Sus scrofa: one gene and its partner. The protein of the gene in region 2 interacts with the protein of the main gene of each other region in a biochemical or structural test. Links are inferred from orthologs where the notes say so. Each region holds a gene or a part of one and is shown on either strand. Other genes may lie near its edges.

Evidence for each region.
Region 1: the proteins of KLHL12 (region 2) and LNPK form a complex in vitro, tested with the Homo sapiens proteins (2 studies listed by BioGRID, with this or other methods). The link is inferred for Sus scrofa from reciprocal best matches to the Homo sapiens genes KLHL12 and LNPK.

What each region holds. Positions count from the first base shown.
Region 1 is NC_010457.5:81,802,819-81,807,442, forward strand, and holds the start of LNPK (protein lunapark), read right to left. Parts: upstream 2,887-4,624; 5' UTR 2,739-2,886; intron 2,314-2,738; exon of another isoform or gene 2,089-2,313; intron 1-2,088. UniProt on the Homo sapiens protein: Endoplasmic reticulum (ER)-shaping membrane protein that plays a role in determining ER morphology. Involved in the stabilization of nascent three-way ER tubular junctions within the ER network.
Region 2 is NC_010452.4:24,900,026-24,904,542, forward strand, and holds the start of KLHL12 (kelch-like protein 12), read right to left. Parts: upstream 2,957-4,517; 5' UTR 2,356-2,956; coding exon 2,287-2,355; intron 2,097-2,286; exon of another isoform or gene 1,677-2,096; intron 242-1,676; coding exon 2-241; intron 1-1. UniProt on the Homo sapiens protein: Substrate-specific adapter of a BCR (BTB-CUL3-RBX1) E3 ubiquitin ligase complex that acts as a negative regulator of Wnt signaling pathway and ER-Golgi transport.

The DNA of each region.
Region 1 (4,624 bases), on a different chromosome or scaffold from region 2:
TCAACCCTCATTGTTCCAGAAATTTTTCTATAGATTCCAGCGTTTGTTAAAGAAGCTTGACTTACTATAATGCACATGTAAACGTAGTACTTTCCAACAAATATGAAAGCCTAACAAAATTAAATAAATTCATTATTTTCTCTATTCCTTTGATTTCATACCTCTTCTATTTTCAAACACTTCGCCACTCAAACATCTTAACTCCAATTCCTACGGCCCATTACTATGAAACCTTGGGTAAATAAGGTACCTAATCTCTCAGTTATTTATTATCTTCATATGCAAAAGAGTGATAGTTAACAGCCCTCTTAAATGTTGAAAATTTTAAGTGACATAATGCATTCTAAAGTATTTACAACAGCCGGTGACATACTAATTTCTTGATACAAATTGTTTTTACTGTTGTGGCTGTTGCTGTTTTCTAGTCCATTTCTGCTTCCTTTCAAAACATGGAAAATACATGGGAATCAAATAACTAGCATTTCTTTCTGAAGCATAAATCAACTTGCTTGCCCTTGAGTGGACAGATGGTTCAATCTCAAGTGATTCCACTCTGGTATTACAGTGGGACTTCACATGACCTTTGGAGCTGGATGCATCTAACGTGTTTTTCAATAAGTAATAAAGCTCACCATATTATCTGTATGTTTTCTACTAACTGCTATTCACATTCAGGTTTAGGTGTCAGAATCTCGGACATGTTATTCTTAAATCTTCAGCTTACTTCAAGTCATTTCGAAATAGTGGAATAAAAAAGGCCTGGAATCAAAATATGACTCAACCACATACTAGCTATGTGATCTTCAGTAAACTAAACTCTCTAAGCCTCAGTTTCAGCGTCTGTAAAGTGGTGAAAATATGTACACTTCACAGAATTGTTCTATGAATTACAAGAAATTACATTATCACTTGGCACAGTGCCCAACAAATAAGTGCATAATAAATTATAGTCATTATTATTACTATTGCCAGAAAACACATGTAGTACAGCAATACTTCTCATATGGAACACATTTCTAACTTCTTATAAAGGACCTATTTCATAATTTTAAAACTGGAAAATAAAATTAGTTTGCATTTTAACTGAAATTGTATTGTTCTCATTTTCTCCAGTATAAAAAATAAAGCAAAATAATCTGAAGACTCTTCATTAAAAATAACTTCGTAGGCCTTTAACAGCAAAGGAAGTTTACTTTTATGTTTATCAAGTTCCAAACTTAAGTAGAAACTATTCAGTCACCATCAACACCACCACTACAACGCATTTTACTATTCAACTTGAGATTAAAAGTGTCTATTCTAGAACACTAACTTCCAAATATCCTAACTGAAAGACAATTCTGAAATATCCCAAACCACATTTATCACTCAAAACTAAAATCACTGAAAAGAAATACAGCTCTAAAAGCACTTTTATTATATAATGATTAAGTTCTAGTCTTCATGGTAAGTCAATGTTCATTCTGAATTAAATACTACAAAAAATGACTCTTTGATTAAAAGATTTCTGTAATAAATCATACCTGTAGTAAGCCATATAATTTCTTCCTTTTCTTACATTTTTTCAAGTTAATAATATATATAAACACTAAGTTTTTAACAGCATTGGGCTGATCCCAGTAGATGACAGAGAAAACTTGAAATTCTAATTTCAAAAGCGTCACTCGTTTTTTAAAAAATGTGTTCCAAAAAAAAGGAGAAAATTGTTCAAAATCGACTTCGTTCTAAAATGAAGATATGAGAGTCGATGAGAACAAGAGATTAGCATTCCCTGCCAGTTTGAACATATGCCTGAAACCAAGCTTACTCACATCCATACAAACTGCTGTTGAATTTTGTGACGACAATTTTGCCAATGGTGACACCCAGGCCACAGGGAAAAGAGAAAACAATCGACACTAGGTGCCACAAAACAGAAGCCTACTGGGAAAAGCGGAACGTGGAAAATTCTGTGACTCAGATTTTACTTAGTACAGTGAGAGCACCATCAGCAAAACTGAGTTCGCTAATCCCAGCTCTCTCTCAAATCCCATACGCAGTGTTCAAGAATTAAAACTACTGTTGTTTTAATTCTTGTTCTTCCCCTTCTGCCTCGTCCATGACACACACGAAACCTCGCCCTTCCCTCCACCCCTTACACCGCCCACCGTCGCTCAAATAAGGACAACAGAGGTACAGAGGCTTCTCTAAGTAGCTAGCGCACAATCCACGCCCACAAGGATGGGCCGAGCAGCATGACACTGACAGTTTTCGGTCCCTCACGATCTTTCCAACTCTCGGCACCGCCGCACAACTCAGAAAAAGACCACATGGGTAAGAACCCACTCAAAGCAATAGCTTAGTGTAAAACCTTCTGACCTTTCTCTCAAACACAGAAGTGGGCCAAAGAGTCAATGCTCAGCTCGTCCCAGTCACCGCCCCACCCAACCCCGAAATCTCCGAGAAAAGGCTGGGGAACCAATTCCCCATTGGGAGACAGAAAGGGGTCTCCAGCACTCCAGGGCCACCCTTGCCACTGTGCTGGGACAATAAGGGGATCCGGCGGCGAGACTGGGTGAACGAGCAGCCGGGCAGGAGTTCGACTAGCCGCCGCCACAGAGCTCCTAGGCCACTCCGCGTGGGGCGGAGGCGCCTGGGAGAAGCAAGCGTGGGGACCAGCAGAGTATTTCCCAGGAAAAAGCTCAGAGCGCCTCCCCACTGCCGAACTCTCCCACCGGCCTTCATTTTGAGCCCTCTACCTTCAACAAGAAGCGGGCAAAGCCCGGCGCTAGCGTCCACCTCTGCCACCTTCGGCCGCCACCACGGAGCTCGCCTCCAGAGCAGGCAGCAGCCACCCCTGACAGAGCTGGAGGCCCGGCCAACACCTTCCCATCAAACCCCGCGCTCCCGCCGCCGGCCAATCGGAGCCGCGGCCAGCGCGCGCCGCTCCCCCGTCACGTGATCGTGACCGGGCGGGCAGTTGGGGGCGCGGCGGACAGTTGGCCCCAGGGCAGTTGTCCCTGTGGTTTCCGTGGCCAAGTAGGGTGCTCATCGTCGCATCTCAGAGGTGGATTGCCATTTATTATGACTCTTACCAAAGGGGTTACTTCTTGCTCCTCCTCTGCTTCGTTTTCTTTTACAGCCTGTTCTGCCAAGTCTCACCGGCTAAAGAAAACCCCAAAATTAGTCCTGATGGTCCTAGACCGAGAGATAGAAGAGCGGGCTTGGGGGTGGAGATGAGTCCGCCCCGAAGAGTCACCAATCAGCTGTCGTCCAGCCGCCAGAAGAGCAAGTTAATACTACACAGCTTGGAAGAGACCAGTTCCCAAACATGCCAGCGGAGAAATTCAGCCTAGACTCCAGGAGTGCTTGAGGCTTTTATGACTTCTGGACGTCAAAAAGGGTCTTTTGTGACTGGATGCTTACCTCACCAGTGTGTGGTTAGCGTCAAAGGCACAATGATATTGATTTAAAGCCTGTGGATAACAACATAAGCTGATTTTTCTATCTTAAAACTCTTAGCCAAGAACACTCCTGTCACAGGTGCTGGTACTAGGCCCGCAAATAAACCACCCAGGTTTTATTTGCCTCAGTTTTAAAACAGTGGCTAAAAAGCATTAAATTTCCTAGTCAACTGGGAATGACAGGTCTAAATAACAAATGGTACTTGAACCGCACTAAGTTGTGTGGGCGTAGAGAAACTTCAGCAAAAGCTTTTGTCATGTTTAACCCCTGTGTACAGATATTTTTCATGGGATTTTTCTATTTAGTTACATACACATTTTAAAATAATTTTTAAAGTGTCCATTATTTTTAAAGAGTATAATCATTTTAATATGCTATGTTTAAACCTTGACACCAAACAGGTTAAGTAAAAGAAAGTGAGCATAGTATCTACTTGGTAAGAATAATTTATTATACTGGAAGCTATCAGATGACTCACTGTGGAGTTCCTTAACTGCTAAAATCTTTAGTTCCAGCCTTGTAAATGTGAGGGGAAGGGAACCAAAGTTTCTTCTTGTGTAATCTGGGTCACTTTACAAATCTAAAAGAAAATGAGAAGAAAACATTTTATCTATTTTGGCATGAAAATTTAACCATTTTGTTTTTCATCCTTTGCAATTCAAAGTTTTGTTTGTTTAAAAAAAGGCCTGTGCAGTTATGCAAATACATCTCCCCACCTCAGGATGATCTCTTCCTAAGAGAATAAGGAATTATTTTCTACTCGCTAATAATTTGTTTTGTAGTTTTAATTGAACTGTCAAGATCTAATGTAAATGGGACAAAAATAGAAGGGGAGAAGAGCTAGCTGGGTGCAATAGATTCCAAAAAACCTATTCCTGAGACAAAAATTCCCTAGGTAATTGATCTAGAAGATGAGAAGTTTTGATTGACAAGGGGAGAAATAATGGAATCATCAACTCTCTTAGTCCTCCCAACAACCTTTTAAGGTGTCAGTTTTCAATTGAATCAACTGAAAAGTAGAAAAATTATACAATATATTGTTGAAGGTAATACTATAATACTTCTTCCTTTATATTAAATGATAAGACTTTGTCAGATACAGTGAGAAGAGACATTAGAAACAGAAATAAGCATGTGCACCATAAGGGTCATTCCAAATATTTATTGAGGATAAGACCCT
Region 2 (4,517 bases):
CCTCACTGGTGAACATGGCGCAGAAGTAATCACTACAGGCAGCCAGCACAATCCGATGGGCAGGGAAGTCTTTCTGTTCTACTCTCAATGTCACATCACAGAGGGTATTGCTCTTCCTGAGGGAGTTCATTGAGTTGAGGATGGATTTAGCATGAGTGTTTGTCATTATGTCTTTGGGGGCCATAATGCCTCCCATCAAGCAATATGGAGAAAGGATGAAAGGGGTCCTTGGATGCTGCAACTACAAGAGAAAAGAAAAACAAGGACCATATTTGAAGGAATTGGGAAGCTAAACATACTGTTAGCTCTACAAATTAAGGAGGCTCCATCAGACTCAAAAATCTTCAAGTAGGGAGCTCTCCTATTCCTGGCATTACGAATACAATTTAGCCACTAACTATAAATAAAAACTAAAATAAATATAATAAAAAATAATAATAATTATAAATAAATAAATAACAAATAATAATATAAAAACTAAAATAAAACTAAATAAAAATGATCTCTTCTTCCTCTGAATTCCATAATCATCAAGTGCCCCAACCATTTGACAAATACTATGATCAATACAACTGCATTATAAGTGGAAAAAAACCCTACATTTCCTGCATATCTTCACAAGGCTGTTGTCTCACGTGACAAAATGAAAAGACAGAATTTCTTAAGGGTGTGATATCATTGTTTTTAATATCCTCAAGTAGATTAAGTAGGTAAATATTTATAGGGTGGGGATTCTGATTTATATATTTTTTTCTTTCCCAGAAAATGTACAATAAATGTTTAGTAATAGAGTGCAAGAAAAGAAAAACTGTGTATTCAACCTAGAGCAATAAAGATCAAGTATTAGTGAAAATAAACTTTTTTCTAAAATAATGCAAATAATTATTTTTGATGACTTTCAAATATATCCGGATTTCTTCAAAAAGTGAAACTTCAAGTGAGGACCCGATACCTATACTGAACAGTGGAATCCATGCACACTTATCTGTGGACTTCCACTAAAGCTACTGAAGCTCTTCTACAGAAGGGGCTTCCCACTCTACATTAGTTGCAAAGGTTCAGCAAAATTAACAAATCGGTATTTGTATTTCTATACTGAAAGAGTGACTTACTAGGATAGGACCTCTGCTACTAATTTCACTGCCATAGCCAGTCACTTGTAAAGTTCACCTGCACATACCAATTAAATGAACTAAATAACAGATTACATCTTAACAAATCAATATAAGAAGTACTTTCCTGATTGACAGGCTTTGGTCACACTAATTTTTTTTGCTTCAAAAACAGTTTCTGTAGAATGAATGGGGTGGTTATTAAGAAAGCCTATCTTATGTAGGCTCCAGAACTTTCTGAAATGATCCAAGGAAAAAAAAAAAAAACAACTGGTTTTCAAGAGTCCACAACTCACAACCATAATTTGATATGAAAGCAAAAACGAGATCCTAATTTCTCATCTACTCCTGTTCATAGTTAGCATATTATTCTATAGGCACTCTATGTTATCCGTCCAACAACTCCGCAAGATCCATTTTACAGCAAAGCATACGATGTTTTTCAAAAAGGTCGTCCTTGAGTCAATGCAGTTTCAACTCCGGAGATGTGAGAAAGGTCTGCACAGACGCCCGTTTACCGTGAAGACCTTCGGGGTGGGGAGGGGATGTTACGACAGGGCTCACCTGTCAAACGGACTCGACCCCAACGCGGCGCGGTCTCTCTGCCGGGGTACGCAGGGTGCGCCCCGATCCAGGGTTGACCTAGCCCGGGCTCCAGCGAGTTCCCTAGAGGAGAGGCTGCGCCGCGGGCTGGGTCAGATTCGGGGCGGGGGAGGGGGGCTTGCAGGCTGGAGAGCAAAGCGGAGTCCTCCCCGACAGCTTCAGGTGGAGGGCGAGGCGCTCGTCGCCAGGACACCGCCCGGCTGGGAGAGGCCGACCGGGAGAAAGGGGACGGAAAGGCGCTAGCCGCTGCCTCCGGGCCACTCACCTGCGCTCTGGCCCGCGGGGTGGGCGCGGGGCTAGCGGGCGGCTCGGGAGGAGCCCAAGCACCGCCGCCCCGACCCGAGGCCGTCCCCACCGTCGCCGCGCGCAGTGATGACGTCACGACCACCCAGCGTCACGTGAGGGGCCGCGTCACGTGACCCGCAGGTGTGCGGGGCTAGCTCCAGAGAACACGGCGGTGCAGGTCCCCACCCGGTGACTGGTCCAGATGCTCCGCAGGTCCCCAGGCGCGGTGGACTGAGAGGATTCCAGAGTTTTCGAAGCTAGAGAACTGACTGCAGAGAGTGTTTACCTGACAGGTATTCAGGAACCCTCTCACATCAAGAAAACTCACGGAGGCTTCCAGTGTCTTCATGTCCATTTTCCACAATGGCCTTTTCGAGCTGTGATGAGAATCCTCTGAGCCCTGCGACCCTGGGACCTCAGCATTCTCTGCATCACAATCGGGCCTCAACACCCCTGGGTGTTCTCTGCTTCTTGCACTTCAGGACAGTTTAGTGGAAGGAACTCACGGCCCCTCCGAGGGAGATTCCGAAGGGTCTTCTTGCAAGTCCCAGGAATCCTCATCTCCCCTATTCCGATTCTGCTGCCTTTCACAAATCTCGGAGGCTGAGTGTTGTGCTAGTATTTTTGCTTCTGTTTGATTTTGGTACACTTATCTCAGTGGCTCAGAAGGGAATGAGGTTCCTTGATTCAGTTCATGCGAATGTCCAAACCAATTGTGTTTGATTGTATTGTTTTCCTTTTGAGGGGGGCTTGATTCTTTAGGGATATTAAAACTGTAGCTAAGTGGGTAGCAATCTAATTTTACAGTAGTGTCTCCATCTTTCATATCCTATCTCTGGTCTAAAATTGTCTCTGATTTGTATATTGTGAGTGCAGGATTGGTACAAGTTTTATTGGGGGCATCTTGGAAAAATTCACCAAAATGATGAATGCATATATATATATTCCTTAACAATGATCTTTAGAAATTTGGAGTTCCCGTCGCGGCTCAGTGGTTAACGAATCCGACTAGGAACCATGAGGTTGCGGGTTCCATCCCTGGCCTTGCTCAGTGGGTTAAGGATCCGGCGTTGCCGTGAGCTGTGATGTAGGTTGCAGACACGGCTCGGATCCCGCGTTGCTGGGGCTCTGGTGTAGGCCGGTGGCTACAGCTCCGATTGGACCCCTAGCCTGGGAACCTCCATATGCCGTGGTAGCAGCCCAAGAAACGGCAAAAAGACAAAACAAACAAACAACAAAAAAAAACAATGATCTTTAGAAATCTATCCTTTGTATATACTCACACATGTAAAATGATGTGTGTGCAAGGTTGTTTGTAGATTGGATTGAAAACAAGGGTTTTTTTGGGCCTTGCCTGTGGCAGGTGGAAATTTCTGGGTGGGGAATCTAATCTGTGCCCCAGCAGCCACAGTAGTGACTACGTGGCATCCTTAACCCACTGCACCACACTTAAGGAACTCCTGGATTGAAAACAAGGAGTTCCCATTATGGCTCAGCTAGTTAAGAACCCGACATAATCTCCATGAAGATGCAGGTTTGATCCCTGGCCTCTATTAGTGGGTTAAGGATCCAGTGTTGCTGCAAGCTGCAGCGAAGGTCGCAGGTATAGGTTGCAGATGCGGCTCAGATCCGGTGTTGCTGTGGCTGTTGCATAGGCCTGCAGCTGCAACTCCCATTTGACCCCTAGCCTGGGAACTTCCGTATGCCACAGGTGTGGCCCTAAAAAAAAAAAAAAAGAAAAGAAAAAGTTTAATGCCCATCTGTAGGGGACTGGTTCACTAACATATGGCACATCCATACAACCCAATACCATGAAGTTGTGAACAGTGTGTATACTTTGCTATTAATTGTGAAAAAGTTTGGGAAATATAGTCATATTTGCTTGCATGTGTATAAAATGCATTTTATAGATACAAAATAAAGCAGTAACATCACTTTCTTGGAGAGAGTAACTGGTGAGTTGGGAGACAGGATGGGAGGGAGATTTTTCCCTTTATGTATTTTTAGGCCTTTTGAACTTTGTTTTTTTTTGTTTGCTTGTTTGCTTTTTAGGGCCACACCCTCAGCACGTGGAAGTTCCCAAGCTAGGGGCTAGAACTGGAGCTGTAGCTGCCAGCCTGCACTACAGCAGAGCAATGCTGGATCTTTAACGCAATGAGCAAGGCCATGTATTGAATCTGTGTCCTCTTGGATGCTAGTCAGATTCGTTTCTGATGAGCCACAACAGGAAGTCCAGGGCCTTTTGAACTTTGCATTATGTTAACTAAAAATATGTATAATTTAAATAAAAATAATCCTTTGGTTTTTGGTTGCAGAATCTTTGATGATGTGGCTTTAAAACTGAGTTCTGGCTTCTAAACTGAGTTTTTCCAAATATGAGCAGATACTTAAGAAGCTTTGTTTGGAGTATGCCTGCCCCTTTTCCAGAGAGTAAAAGTGGAGAAACTGCAATCAAGAAAGCCAGTGCACTGAGTTCCCGTCGTGGCTCAGTGGTTAATGAATCTGATTACCATCGAT